3 linked regions of the Rattus norvegicus genome follow. The protein of the gene in region 1 purifies or fractionates together with the protein of each later gene. This does not show direct contact. Links are inferred from orthologs where the notes say so. Each region holds a gene or a part of one and is shown in the gene's direction. Other genes may lie near its edges.

Region 1 (4,499 bases):
GACAGACATCCAAATTGCCAGGAGAAGACATGGGGTGGTACATGCCTTTAAACCAAAAACTTAAGATGCAGAAGCAAGTGGATCTGAGTTTGAGGCCAGAATAGTCTGCACAGGGAATTCTAAAGCGGGTGAGGCTACATAGTAATACATTGTCTTACCAAACCAACCCCAGCCCAAACCAAACCAAACTTTGTCAGATACTGGATGTAACCCAGTGGTTAAACACTTGCCTAGTACACACAAGGGCATGGGTTAGATTCCCAGTTACCCTCCGCCTCCAACACTTCTTTGAGATAATTTCTATTTGTGATGATGTAATTTTCTGCAAGAATTGTATTACAGTCATGTCTGAAAACAATACCTTCTCTATGTATGTCCCAGGAACTATTAGGGGCATCAGAATTTGACATTAAGTGTTATGAAAGCTGCATCACTTGGATTGTGTCCAGATTATATCTCAACACGCATGCTCATATCAGTGATAAGAGAAGGGGCGTTGTTCTTTTGTAAGAAGGCTGAGTGGGTAATTAGCGAATTATAAGAGATTACTGAATAGCAACTGTTCAGATTTAGACTCTAAATATCATTGACTTAATCCAAAGATGTGTGGCAATTCGTGGTTTTACTCACCTGTACACCCACAGAACTTGTTCTCAATTTTAGAAAAAAAATTAGGTATTCACTTGACAGACATTCTTACTATGTCTTATTTTTTCGATAGGCATTGGTAATTCTTAAAATTGCCTTTTGTTTCTAGTAAATAAAAAATTAAAAAACTACAAATTTTACTTAATTTAAGACATTTTGCATATATGAGTGTCTGCATACATGTCTGTGTCCCGTGTATGTGTCTGATGCTCATGTTGTCTAGAAGAGTGTGTTTGATTCCCTAGAGCCTGGGGTACAGATGGTTGTGAGCCACCATGGAGGGAACCAAACCCTCATCCTCCACAAGGGCAACAAGTACTTAGCCACTGAGACAGTCACCTAAAATGCCCATTTTTATTCTGTCATATATGCCCTATGGGAGATCTCTTCGTATGTGTATTTTGTCATAGTATACATTAATAGAAAGTAAAAATGAGAGGTTCAGCAGCTGAGGCCATGAGATACTAGAAGAACATTTGCACTCTTCTTATTGATGGTCATTATTTATTTATAAGAAGAGCTTCAGTCTTGAACCAGTACTTTATTATAACCTGCATGGCCAGAAAGCACATCCAGCTATTTATACTTGTGCTGAGCAGTTACAGAGGAAATGTCTCCTCCGTGCAGGCGGAGAGCAAACAGATCTCTTTGGAGAAGCAACTCCAGGTCCTCCGCGAAACTGACCACATGCTTCAGGTGCTGAAGGAGAGCCTAGGGGAGCTGGACAAGCAGCTTACCACATACCTGACGGACAGGATTGATGCCTTCCAGCTGCCCCAGGAAGCTCAGGTACTGCTACAAAGTAGCGAGCCTTTGTGTTCTGAGAGAGAACGGTTTCCATCTGACCGTCTGTCAGAGCCAGGAGAACAGGCATTCTTTATGGAACGGTCTTGGCTTTGGAGCTGTTCTTGTTCCTTGGGTGAGAACTTGAAGCATTTTTCTCTTTAATCTTTCACGCATAGGAGTGTTTTGCTTACACGTGCACATGTGCACTGTGTTCATGCCTACTGCCTGCGGATGCCAGAAGGCAGCTTTGAATCCCCTGGAACTGGAGTTAGACTGTTATAAACCACCCTATGGGTGCTGGGAAAGGAACTTAGATCCTTTGGAAGAGCAGCTGGTGCTCTTAACAGCCGAGCCATCTCTCCAGCTCCTTTCCCACAGCTCATACATTAGAAAATGGATTTCTTTCTTCCTCTTTCTTTCTTTCTTTCTTTCTTTCTTTCTTTCTTTCTTCTTTCTTTCTTTCTTTCTTTCTTTCTTTCTTTCTTTCTTTCTTTCTCTTTCTTCCTTTTCTTTCTTTCTTCTTTCTTTCTCTTTCTTCCTTTTCTTTCTTTCTCTTTCTCTCTTCCTCTTCCCCTCTCTCTCTCTCTCTCTCTCTCTCTCTCTCTCTCTCTCTCTCTCCCTCCCTCCCCCCCTCCCTCCCTTCCTTCCTTCCTTAGCTATAAAGTTCAGGCAGTTTATTCTATATAAATCAGGTGTGAGCATCAATAATGGCATGCAGAGGCCTTAGCATGTGCACGGCACACAGTGGTGTACCGTGTAGCAGTTTGTTATTACCAAGTGTCCCCCAAGCTTATTAAATACAGGATCAGATACTGCACAGCTACACTGACCTTCTGTGTTTCTGTTTCTTCGTGTACTTTGCTGTTGTCCTATAAAGGCACACTGCTGTGTGAAAACTGTTGTATTAAAAACATACATGTTGTTTAAAGACATATGGAACTCATGCTTGCCTGGGACTTACTGTGTAGCCAAGGGTGGCCTTAAACCTGGCTGTCCTCCTGCTCCAGCCTCCAGAGTGCTAGAATTACAAGCAAGGGCCATCATTACCCAGGGCTTCTCAGTGGACTTTAAAAACACACCTTCTCCCTTTTTTATCTTCCCGGTAGAAGATCCAAGCAGAAATCTCAGCCCATGAGCTCACCCTGGAGGAGCTGAAAAAGAATGTCCGCCCTCAGCCCCCCACCTCCCCTGAGGGCAGAACCACAAGAGGAGGAAGTCAGATGGACCTGCTCCAGGTAAAGGCCAGGTTTCCCCTTTGCTTTTTATATATGGCAGGTATAGAAAGGAAAGCAGAAAGGGTATGTGGGTACCCTGGCTCTGTACTGTGATTCGAACAATGGGATGTGAGTGGGTATTAAAGGCTCACTGGGCCTCATGGCAGCAGGCACAGGTTGTTAGCTGGGTAATAAAATAGCAAAGTTTTTTATTGTTATTATTTTTATTTATTTACATTTCAAATGGTATCCCTTTTCCTGGTTTCCCATCCAAAAACCCCAATCCCGTTTCCCCTCCCCCATCTTCTATGAGGTTGTTCCCCCACCCACCCCTTCTCACCTCTCCGCCCTGACACTCCCCTATACTGTGGGGTGGGGTCGAGTCTTGGCAGGACCCTAGTTGGTTGAGAAGAGAGACTGGGTTCAGCCTTGCGGTTGGCTTTGTGTGGACTGCTCTCTGACCCCAGAGACTGATGTCTGGGCGGGATGCAGGACCACTCAGGTCCTTAGTGCGTGGAGGGAGAAGGGCTGTCACTCTTAATGTGGTGGAAGGTGTCTGAGGTCTACGTCCATGACCTAGGTTTCCTGGAGGAAGTGAGTAAATTAGTGGACTGTCGTTCCGGAGACACCATCTGTATCCATGTTTGTTTTGGAGACTGGGAATACTGAGGGCTGCTCATCCATGACATTGAACAGTGGTTCTCAACCTGTGGGTCGTGACCCCTTTGGGGGTTACCTATCAGATACCCTGCATATAAGATAATTATGAATTAATTACATTATGATTTATAACAGTTGCAATTACAATTAGGAAGTAGCAAGTGAAATAATTTTATGGTTGGGGGCCACCACAACACGAGGAACTGTGTTAAATGGTTGCATCATTAGGAGGGCTAAGAACCATTGTTTTACTCTACCAGAACCTTCCTAATCCCTCTGGGCTTTCCTGGGTTGGCTTGTTTTTTTTTTTTTTTTTTTGAGAAGCCTTTTAGTATTAATGTATTATACTAACAGCTAGAGAGAGAGAGAGAGAGAGAGAGAGAGAGAGAGAGCGAGTGGCTTACTTTCATTTCTGCACACAGAGGAAACTCCGAGAGGTTTCCACCAAATTCCAGCTTTTCCAGAAGCCCGCGAATTTCGAGCAGCGGATGCTTGACTGCAAGCGCGTGCTGGATGGCGTGAAGGCCGAGCTCCACGTCCTCAGTGTGAAGGATGTGGACCCCGACGTCATCCAGACCCACTTGGACAAGTGCATGGTGAGCCTGAGACGGAGGGGGCGGCTCGCACGGCCAGAGATGCCGCTATAGTGTAGTTCAGAGCATCCGTTCTTATTCCTCAGTTCGGGGTGTGAAGATGACAGAGGACGTGTTAGAACAGTAAGAAATGCGGCCGTCCCAGAGAAAAAAATAGATGCTACGAGAGAAATGGGAGAGTGTGAAAACAGTATTTATGGTCCGTGCAGATACGGAAGCAAATGGCACACTAATAACATGTATTAAAAAGAAAACAAAAAAATGCGTAAGTTATAACACGAAATAGGAAAGACTTCTGCAGGACATGACTGATAGGTGAAAATTTTCACAATAAATTTTGAAGTCTCTGTAATATTTGGAATATTACAGAATTAAAAAAAAATGCTTTGCTAGGAACATGACCTTTAAGTCAAAGTTTAAACTTTCAGATGGGCAGAAGTGGATGGCAAATAAGACCTTATTGTTTCATTGTTTGTAGTTAAATAGAGATTTTTAAATGATGTTGGGGCAGGGGAGGATCTGAACTTAGCCTTATTGTGGTGCCTGGCAATCTTAGAGGAGTCCGCAGGAGATACCTGTGGGGCTGTTGTTTTTCACG
Region 2 (5,012 bases), on another chromosome or scaffold:
GGCCCCGTACTGGGTTCCTATAGCTTCAGTTTCACAGTCTACCTCATTGCCAGAGTCAATGTTTTTACCCATCAGTGCCTTCCCCATAGCAGGAGCTCGATACATGGTAAGAAACTAAATGTCTCTTGACATAGTCGGAATATCCTTACATGGTTGGAGCAGTCACCACCCAGCAACCAGTGAGTCTCCTCCGACATGCAAAGCAGCCACACGATTCCTGTGTAAAAAGTAATGTATTCCCTCCCCCTCAGAAAAAAAAAGTTATCAACACAGCACTGACTGCCTTCACCATAGGAATTTAAAAATAGATTGTGAGAAGAGGAGGAAAAGGGTGTTCTAGAGGCAGCCCGACAGTGTGATCGAAGCAGGTGGCACGATCTGCTTTTCCAGAAGGTGCCAGAAAGCTTCAAAAAGCTTCCCTAAAGCACAAAGGCCTGGAGCTGCTTCCATTCACACATGCACGTTCACATACACCAAAAACCTAAGGGATATTGCTGTTGTCTTAATGTTGAGGGGAAATTTTTTGATTTTTGAGACGTTAAAAGAAGACTTCGATGTCCCTAAAGAAGGATTCTATAAAAAAATGGCAATATGAGGGGCTGGAGAGATGGCTCAGCAAAGAGCACTTGCTATGTTATCCGAGGACCTGCGTTTGATTCCCCAGCATCCATCCACACTTCACAGTTCCAGGGGATCCAAAACACTCTTCTGGCCTCCGGGGGCACTCACGGGGTGCAAACATTGCAGCCCAAACACTCATACACATAAAATAAAACATAAATGCTTTAAAAAAGGATAGATGAGTTGGTAATAAATATAGATACATAAATAAATGAAGCTTTGTCGCCCCTGCTCCCTTGTCCAAGCTGTTTAATGTCCAAATACTCCCACTTTCAGGAACTACTGAACGACTAAGCGGAAAGTAATCTGTCCCTCCTCATCCTCTCACCGCATCCGGCTGTGGCTTGCCTTTGCGCAGAGGACCGGACTCGGTCCTTCGCAAGGCTGCTCTTCTCCCTAAGTTATGCGCTCTTGGGGACCAGGGCCGTGACCCAGATCGTGTCCACCGGGCACCAGGCGCATGAGTTAGTGCTCAAACGAGCCTGCTGAGGCAATGTGGAAAGTCACTCGGGGGAGGACCCGGCGCTCGAGGCGCGGGTGAATGATTCACCGGGTATTTCTTCGCATTCCTTACGGTTCAGTCACGTCGGCGCAGCACCCAGCCGCCCGGCAGCTACCTGTGGAGTGGAAGCGCACCTCCGCCTCCACCTCCGCCTCCGCGGCCAGCGCACAGCAGAGGCCCGGAGGGGGCGCGCAAACCCGCGGGAGGGCACTCGGCCGCCTCCCCGCCCCCTCTGGCGGCGGAAGCCCCGCCCCTCCGCGCGCCCGCCCTCCGCGCGCACCCGCCCTCGCCCTCGCCCTCGCGCCCTCGCGCCGGGGGCGGGCTCGCTGCGCGTGCCGGGCGGGGAAGCGGCGCGAGCCGGCGCCAGGAACGTTCGCCGCGGGGGCGGCTCCGGGGCCTGAGTGGGCGCCGCCGCCTCAGTCGCTGCCGCTGCTTCAGCTGCCTCTGCCGAGGGGGCCGGGTCGGAGGAGGCTGCGGCCGCCGGAGAGCCACGCGACGGCCCCTCAGCTTCGGCCGGGAAGCGAGCCAGGTGGGGAGTCCGCCGGGGCTGGAGGAGCGAAAAGGAGGGCTGCGGGGTGGCGGAGCGCGCGGCCCTGGAACGGCGACCCTTGGGAGACCGCACGCCGGGCCGGAGAGGGCTCTCCGGTCACCCGGGCGCGCGGGGGGCCGCGGAGCGCAGAACCCGGCTGCGCGCGCTGCTGATGCAGCCTGAGCCGGACTTGCGGGGAGGAGGCTCAGCGTTAGGTGCTGAAGGGGGCGAAGGCGGCAGGTCCTGGCAGAGGGCAGGTGAGGTAGGCAGGCCCTGGCAGAGGGGAGGGAATTCATTCCAGATCACCTCTCAGTGTCTCCCGAGGCTCCCGGTAGACGAACCTGTCTACTCAGGTCACCTCTGATGGGCACAGTGTCCCGAGAAGAGCGAGGATGCAGCTGACGAATGCTTACTGTTAAATTCCTGTGCCAGGCCTTGGGGAATCAGGGAGACCTTTCTAGCATTCTCTGCAAGCGTTTATTGATTAGCTACGGAGCAGGAGAGAACCGCGGTCAGCGCCCGGGTCACGACTTTATCACTCTCAACCATCATTTATTTGCTGTTGAAGTGCTGACAGTCCGGCTGTGAAAGTATACACACAAAATGTAAAGTGCTCTATTTTATGTTTCTTGTTCTGTTCACTTCAGGTCTCTTTAGGATTTTCCCAGCCCTGGGAAACTGGGCCGTAAGTTGCTTGGCTTGTGGAGAAAGTAAGATACTTGAGGAAAGCTGGTGGGAGCTATTGGGAAGAGATTTGAAGGGTCTTACTGACATTTAAAAGAGAGGGGAAAGAAATTTGGAAGGAGAATCTTGCCTTCCCAACTAGAATTAAGCTCCGCGCCTGTTTTCTGCCCAGTCCTCAGGATGTGGCCTGGATCCCGAAAGCCCTACAATGGATGCCCACTGCAGGAGTGGATGGAGGGACCAGGGTTTGATACATTTGATATGAAGTAGTGTCAGTCTCTGTAGAGTTAGGGATGCTCGCTGGCTTCCTTTGGTCCTAGGATTCTCTTTTTGCCTTCTCAGGTAACCCAGGGTTTTAGACGCTAAACCAGTGGCTTAGGTGGCAGACTCCGGTGGCTTGTGGCCACTTCTTCATCCACGCGGTTCTTGTATGTTGTGCACCAGAAGCTTGTTCTTTGGGTGGCTGCTTGAAGTCAGGTTCCGGTCCTTCTCTCATTGGCCTTTTCCCCCCTCCTCTGTCGTTTGAGGAGGACTGGAGGGAGCTTTTGCCTAGAGAACACTTTATAATTTCTATCCTGCCTCTTGGATCTTGGTTCTGAGGTGAGAGAATGCTTAAGTCTCTTCAGGTCTGTAAGGGCTGGAGTTCTGTCCTCTGCCTTGCTTGGACTCTCCAGCCCCATACTGCTGCTTCCTTTCCCTGGCTTGCAATGCCTGTTGGATTACTTTGCTTGCCAAATTAAAACTTGACCTTTTATGTGTTCTCTGAGGATTTTTATCAGACTTAAGTGGAACTGCCTCTGAAGGGGTTGTGCAGGCAAGGTGGTGCTGGCAGGGTCTTTAGCTTCACTGAATTTTGCCCGGGAGACAGAATATAGTTAAAATATTAGAGTGCGCAGGATTTCCAGTTACCCTTTATTTCATGTCTTCAGATGTTAACATATCTGACCCTTAGTCTCCTTATATAAAAAATAAGAGCAATATTAATCCAAATTTGTCATTGGATATATAGAAGCCTTGAAGTATATTCATTTAGTTCATTTTAATTAGTATTTGCATTTCAGGGTACAACCATTAAGTCTCTCTTAGGTTTTGTTTTGGGGTGCCTATGTGGCTTTGCAAATTTGGGTGTCTTGTTTCGGGCACTTCTAATATTTTATTTAGATATTTAATTTACATTTATTTGAAAATAAACCCTCTACCCCCGGTTTTTGAAGCAGGGTCTTGCTGAGTAGTAACCCCAGCTATATTGGTACTCGAAATACAGTAGCCCAGGCTGTAAGTTGACTTTGAACTGTGGCTATCCTTCTGTTAGTCCTTCCTGTGAAGCACCATGGCTGGTTAAAACAAACTTTTTGTTTGTTTGGGTTAAAGATAGGGTCTCTCTCTGTCATTCTGACTTTGAACTTATGTCTATTCTCCTATCTATGTGTCCTGGGATTACAGGTGTGCACTACTGTGCCTTCTTCATGTGTAGTTTACATAGGATAAAATGGATAGACTTTGCATATTGAGTTGGGTATTTTGAAAAAATGGTACATATTGGTGGGCATGGTGGCATATGTCTTTAGATTGAAGTCCTTAGGAGGCAGAGGCAAGCTGATCACTTCAAGTCCAGCTAGGGTTACATAGGAAGACACTGTTTCAACAACAACAAAAAAAGCAAAACAAAGTAACAAAAGTCCCTCCCCCAAGAAAACAAACAAAAAAAGAAAAGACATGTGTACTTTGTAACCTATCCCAATCAAAATATATACTTTTGTATCATGAGAAAGTTAACTCCTGCTGTCTTGGGGACAACCCCTCCCTCTATTTTATTAACTTAAAATTACATAAGCATTAGAGCTGTGGTTTCTAGATGTGCTGGAGGTACGCTGCTGTTCTAGGGTGTCTTTTGCACTGGAGTCTCTCTGTGCTGGCAGCTCCTGGAGTTGCAGTAGTTTGAGCAGTTCAGAATGCATATTTGCTTGTAAATTGCTCCAAATAAAACTCCCTTGACATACCTACTCCTTTTTCTACTCCGGTTACCAGTTTGTTGTTTTCTTCCCAGGCCTTTTTCTATGCATTTTACTTTTTTTGCATGTGTATGTGGTATGGGGGAGTCTGCATATGGTATCCATGTACCATACATTGTATATGCCTGTGAAAGCCCAGAGTTGACACTGGAGGTTCTCAGTTGCTCTCTTACTTATTTATTAAGTTCAGCCTCCTCCTGAACCTGGAGCTGGCCAATTTGGCTAGTCTAGCCAGTCAGCTCGTTCTGATGACTCCTGTCTGTCTCTAGAGCGCTGGCATTGTAGGTGGCTGCTATACCTGCCTGGCTTGTATGCGGGTTCTAGAGATTTGAACTCCAATTCGTATATTTGCGTGGCAAGTGCGTTATCCACTGAGTCATTTCCAGCTCTCTTTGCATTTTACTATAGCATTCTGTCTAGGTTGCTCTGTAGACTTTTTTTTTTCATGTTGGAACACAAGACCTGCGTAGTCTTTACTGTGTGATTTCTTAATGTATGTTGCGCACTGTACTTAGTATATTTAAGCCTCTCTTATTATTGGCAGTGAATGGAAATCAAATACACCTTCTAGTCTGAGACTTTTCTTAAAAACAAAAATGTAATGTTTGTCATAAATATATGAAAACTTCTTTTCTAAGTGGCTGTGTATGCTCAGAAAAAAATT
Region 3 (5,299 bases), on another chromosome or scaffold:
GGCATCAGACCTCATCATAGATGGTTGTGAGCCACCATGTGGTTGTTGGGAATTGAACTCATGACCTCTGGAAGAGCAGTCGGGTGCTCTTAACCGCTGAGCCATCTCTCCAGCCCCCCCCCCCTTTTTTTTATTGTGGATGTTAGGTCAGAGTCTTTAAGTTAGTCTTTCCTATTTGTTCCCCCACCCCAGGGAAATGGAAGAAACAATAGATTACAGTGTCATGGGCAAGAAGTTAGATAATGCTCTATTTTATTATGCTGAGGGTCCTCATACAACATTCTCTAAACCTAAGCCTGTCTCCCCAAGGCTGCTCACCTGTGCTACATATCTTAGCTGAAGGGCAGGTCCAGTGTCTAGCAGAAGTCTCTGATTTGAGGGTCAGGATCCTGGGGAAGACTCTCCAGCTGCAGGGCAGGTCAAAGTAGCAGAGCTCCAGAGGAGAAGAGCACTGTCTGCTTGTTCAGTGGGCGTCAGTTCTTAGACTGTCTGGTTATCTTAAGTGGTGTCATTGAGTTCTGGTTATCAGGTGCAGCCTTGGGTATGGGGATCCTGACTAAGCTATTTTTTACATATCTAAAAGGCTTTTTTTTTTTTTTTTTTTTTGCTGTGGTCGTTATATTGCTATTGGCTCTGCAGTTAGCAAAGTCACACTCTTTAGCTAATAACTCTTTAGTTTCTAGGATGTTCATCTACATATGTTCCCCCCCAAAAAACGTGATGGAATCCAGACTTAAGACCCAAAAACTTGGGGGTTGGGGATTTAGCTCAGTGGTAGAGCACTTGCCTAGCAAGTGCAAGGCCCTGGGTTCGGTCCCCAGTTCCGAAAAAAAAAAGACCCAAAAACTGAGAAAATCAAGACCAAACCCTTTCAGGATTTGGTTATGTGAAGCTTTTCACACACACTACCCAATTCCACTAACCCTATGTTCTGTTCACATTGGAATTCTGGCAACTTCCTAAGAAGATGGTGCATATTTTTTTTTTCACTTGACCAGGCTCAAAGACGCCTGGACAGACAGATGTAAAACCTCTTTGGGTGTGTCTGTTTCTGGAAGAAGTGATTTCCATGGTGACCTGAGGAAAGAAGATTGTCTTCACTAGTGGGAACAGGCATCATCCAATCAGGTGAGTGCAGCCAGGGAACGGTAAGACCCATACATTCACCCTGCGAAAACTGGGACATCTCCTGCCACACTTCAGTGCTCCTGGTTTTCCATGGACTGGGCCAGTTTTTACATAGTAGCTTTCCACTCCCATCCCCCGACTCAGGTCTCAGTCTCCTGATATCTTCAGATTTCTACCTAGTCCTCAGGTCTTTGGATTTGGATCCAGAGCGTACCAGTCAACTTTCCTGGGGCTGCAGAGGGCAGATTGTGGAATTTATCCTCAGAATCTTGTGGCTAATCTCGCACAATCTTCGTTAACTGTATATCCATTGGTCTGTGGGGAACTCTAAAACACCAGCATGCTGCAAATGTCTTTGACCCTGCACACTGTGGCTTCCCAGTGCTTAACAAGGCACGATTCCCTCTAATTGCAGGCAAGCAGATAGGTGATTTATAAAAACAGTGACAAAGCCTTGGATCCATGCCTTTGAACCCATGTCATTTGTGCTGTGTCCTCTGCTGCTCCCACCAAGACTAACCTAACCGTTCTTTTTTATCCTGTTCTAGGGACGTCTGCACAGCCTTTTTAACCACAGAGAATCACACCTAGCTGGTTGCCTCTGTTTTTCTTTCCCATTAGACCACAAGCTCTCTCAGCTGTGGTGCATTTTATTCAGCTTGTCTCTAGGGCCTTAAAAGGAGCCCCAGCACACCTCTGAGCGCTTAGGGATCTTTGCAATGAACCAATCAATGCAAGAATGAACGCGCCACCCGGCCCTGCAGGATCGCAAAGTGTCTCTCCACGCTGACTTTGCTCTCCGTGCCGGGGCAGCTCTCATAGAAAAGGTCAGGAGTTCGAGGAGGTCACGGGGAACCAAAGCGAAGGACTGTGGGGAGCCCTGCTGCATGTACTAGGTGCTGCCCACCTACCAAGAGCTTTCGGTGAACCAGGACAACCTAGCCTCCCGGAAGCGGCCTCGCCGGCCTTTCCCCGCCCCTCCGGAAAGTGGGCGTGACCCTCATGAATAATGAATCGCCGGGGGGAGGGGAGGGGTCCGCCCCCCCTCGGGCGGGAAGGGGGAAGCGCCGAGGCTGCCTGACTGGAATCGGGGGAGCTGCAGCGACGGCGGCTGCGGGAGCAGGGCTGGCCATGGCGGTGTGGACGCGGGCCACCAAAGCGGGACTGGTGGAGCTGCTTCTGAGGGAGCGCTGGGTGCGGGTGGTGGCCGAACTCAGTGGCGAGAGCCTGAGCCTGACGGGCGACGCCGCGGCGGTCGAGCCTGAACCGCCCGCGGTCGCCTTCAACGGTCTCCCGAACGGCGGCGGCGGCGGCGGAGACTCGCTGCCGGGGAGCCCGAACCGCGGCCTGGGGCCGCCCAGCCCTCCCGCGCCGCCCCGCGGTCCGGCTGGGGAAGCGAGCGCCTCGCCCCCCGTGCGCCGAGTGCGAGTGGTGAAGCAGGAGGCGGGCGGCCTGGGCATCAGCATCAAGGGCGGCCGAGAGAACCGGATGCCGATCCTCATCTCCAAGATCTTCCCAGGGCTGGCGGCCGACCAGAGCCGGGCGCTGCGGCTAGGCGACGCCATCCTGTCGGTGAACGGCACCGACCTGCGCCAGGCCACCCACGACCAGGCCGTGCAGGCGCTGAAGCGCGCGGGCAAGGAGGTGCTGCTGGAGGGTGAGCGGGGCCGAGCGGGAGGCAGCGGGTGGCGGCCTGGGCTCGCCAGCGCGCACTTTGTTTCTGCCCACCCTGACGCCTGTGCGGCGAGCCGGTTCTCTCCGCCTCAGCCACCAGACCTCCTCCTCTGGGGCTCCAGAGTGTGGAAAAACTGAGGCGCCCAGAGAGGAGAAAGTTGGGCAGTCACCGAAGTGTTACTTTGCCGCCCCTCAGCGAGACTCAGCTGAGATTTAGGGGGGAGCAGCAGCCGCATGCAAAGCTCACCCCTCTTGCACGATAAGCTGACACTAAGCACCAACTACCAGGAGAGCGATCGGCTCGAGTTCCGTAGTTTCCTTTTTCCCTGTTGGGAAGCGTTGGTTGGGCGCTTTCTTTAGTCACCTCGGGCTCCCCGGGCGGGCCGGTCTATTAAATCCATCCACACCGATGCCAGCAGTTTGCTTGGGCAAACCACCAAAGCACTGGTTAATTTATGGGAATTTAACCCATCATTGGCTCTCAACAATAACCAGAGGAGATCACAGCACTTCGTGGAAGGCAGGAGAGCTGATACAGCAAGTTTGTGTGGTTAATGAGCCTTGTTTAACAGTGGAGGCTCACGTGTTTGAGCATTTTACTGCCAACTAGAGTTTCGCCCCTTTTGCAAGAGTCTGGTGCCAGCTTCCTACCGCTTGCAGGCATGCTGCCGCAAGACCAGAAGGCATTTTATAACAATCCTGAAACGATACCATCACACGATATGTGTGAATTAGCCTTCTTTACCGTAAATGTAGATGTGATCTGTGAGCTACGTTTCGTGTGAATCAATGTAACTTGCAGAATTAAATCTCACCTCCAAAGACTCCTGCGTGTTGAAGGTGATGGAGCACTGTAAATGAAAAGCCAGTTGCTTGCTTTAGAAATAATTGCAAGACCAGCTTCATTTCCGCTGTTGAGTCAGTCATTCCAGGAGCATTTATTGCTGCTAGCTGTGTAATAGAGAATGCGAAAGGTGTTGTCCCTGTTGTATCTCCGCGGGAGGAAATGATAGGAAATGCAAAACAACTTCTAGGGAGGAATAACGTTAAGTACTGGACTCTGTAGTACAAATTACAAGATGCTAAGGGATTACAAGTTTAAGTTGTATTTGACTGTAGCCTTTGGCATGGTTCACAGACTGCACTCAAGAGGCAGAGGCAGGTAGATCTCTGAGTTTAAGAAGAACCTGGGCTGGGCTAGAGAGATGGCACAGTGGTTAAGAACACTGACTGCTCTTCTAGACGTCCTGAGTTCAATTCCCAGCAACCACATGGTGGCTCACAACCATCTGTCATAGGATTGGACACCCTCTTCTGGTGTGCATGAAGACAGCTACAGTGTATACATAAAATAAATAAACCTTTAAAAAAAAGGAAGAAGAACCTGGTTTCTACATAGTGAGTTTCAGAACAGTCAGGGCTACTACACAGTGGGACTCTGTCAAAAAAAAAAAAAATTCCAGAAAAGTATTTGCTGGAAAGGGGTTAGTCCAGGAGGGCTTTCCAGGAAGTGATGGGTGAGGAGGGATTTCTGGCAGGAGAACTGAGGGAAGAGTTGAAGTTATGGAGAAAACCATCACACTAAGAGCAGAATTGTAACTTTGTGAAATAATTTTCATCTTTTTGTTTGTTGGCCTGGAATTCACAGAGATTGATCTGCTAAGTGCTAGGATTAAAGGCATGTTACACCGTGCACAGCTTATTTGTGTGTGCTCTCAAATAGCGAGTGTGTCTGTATCTCTGTGTCTGTCTGTCTGTCTGTGAGCATGTTCACATTCAGGCCAGGCTGGCCTCCAAGTGGTCATCTTACTGACTCAGCCTCATGATTGCTAGGATTAAAGGCATTTACTGCCATATCCAGTTCAGTTTTCTCTTAAATTTTTAAAAATTATTATTTTATGCATATGAGCGTTTTTGCCTTCCAGTATAGCTGTGCCTCACATGTATACCTGGTGCCCGTGGAGGCCAGAAGAGAGTGTCAGGTCCACTGGGACTAGAGTTTCAGGCGAGTGTGAGCCTGGAGGTGGGTAATGGGAATCAAACCTAGGTCCTCTGTAAGAGCAGCCAGTGTTCTTCCCTGCCGAGCTACCTCTCCAGCCCTACTTTTCACTTTTTTGTAAATCTGTGATACTTGGAAGCAAAAAGGTTTTTTTTTTTAAGATTTATTTATTTACTTAATGTATATAAGCACACTGTAGCTGTCTTCAGACACACCCAACCCCATTACAGATGAGCAACAAGTTTAAAAAGAAATAACATAGGGGTTGGGGATTTAGCTCAGTGGTAGAGCGCTTGCCTAGGAAGCGCAAGGCCCTGGGTTCGGTCCCCAGCTCCAAAAAAAAGAGCCAAAAAAAAAAAAAAGAAAGAAATAACATGGTGCCCAACAGTGTTGGTGAATGCCTTTAATCCCAGCCCTGGGAGGCACAGTTAGGTGGATCTTGGGTTTGAGTTCAGCCAGGTTTACAGAGTTCCAGAACAGCCAGGGCAGAGAAACCTT

What was found. Proteins that work in one complex are often made in the same cells at the same time.
Region 2: the proteins of Utrn (region 1) and Dtnb purify together in Homo sapiens (affinity purification with mass spectrometry; 3 studies listed by BioGRID and IntAct, with this or other methods). This does not show direct contact. The link is inferred for Rattus norvegicus from reciprocal best matches to the Homo sapiens genes UTRN and DTNB.
Region 3: the proteins of Utrn (region 1) and Sntb2 purify together in Homo sapiens (affinity purification with mass spectrometry; 4 studies listed by BioGRID and IntAct, with this or other methods). This does not show direct contact. The link is inferred for Rattus norvegicus from reciprocal best matches to the Homo sapiens genes UTRN and SNTB2.

What each region holds. Positions count from the first base shown.
Region 1 is NC_086019.1:8,848,611-8,853,109, reverse strand, and holds part of Utrn (utrophin), read left to right. Parts: intron 1-1,275; coding exon 1,276-1,437; intron 1,438-2,540; coding exon 2,541-2,669; intron 2,670-3,730; coding exon 3,731-3,904; intron 3,905-4,499.
Region 2 is NC_086024.1:32,284,510-32,289,521, forward strand, and holds the start of Dtnb (dystrobrevin beta), read left to right. Parts: upstream 1-1,972; 5' UTR 1,973-2,242; exon of another isoform or gene 2,243-2,257; intron 2,258-5,012.
Region 3 is NC_086037.1:51,739,252-51,744,550, forward strand, and holds the start of Sntb2 (beta-2-syntrophin), read left to right. Parts: upstream 1-2,259; coding exon 2,260-2,785; intron 2,786-5,299. UniProt on the Homo sapiens protein: Adapter protein that binds to and probably organizes the subcellular localization of a variety of membrane proteins. May link various receptors to the actin cytoskeleton and the dystrophin glycoprotein complex.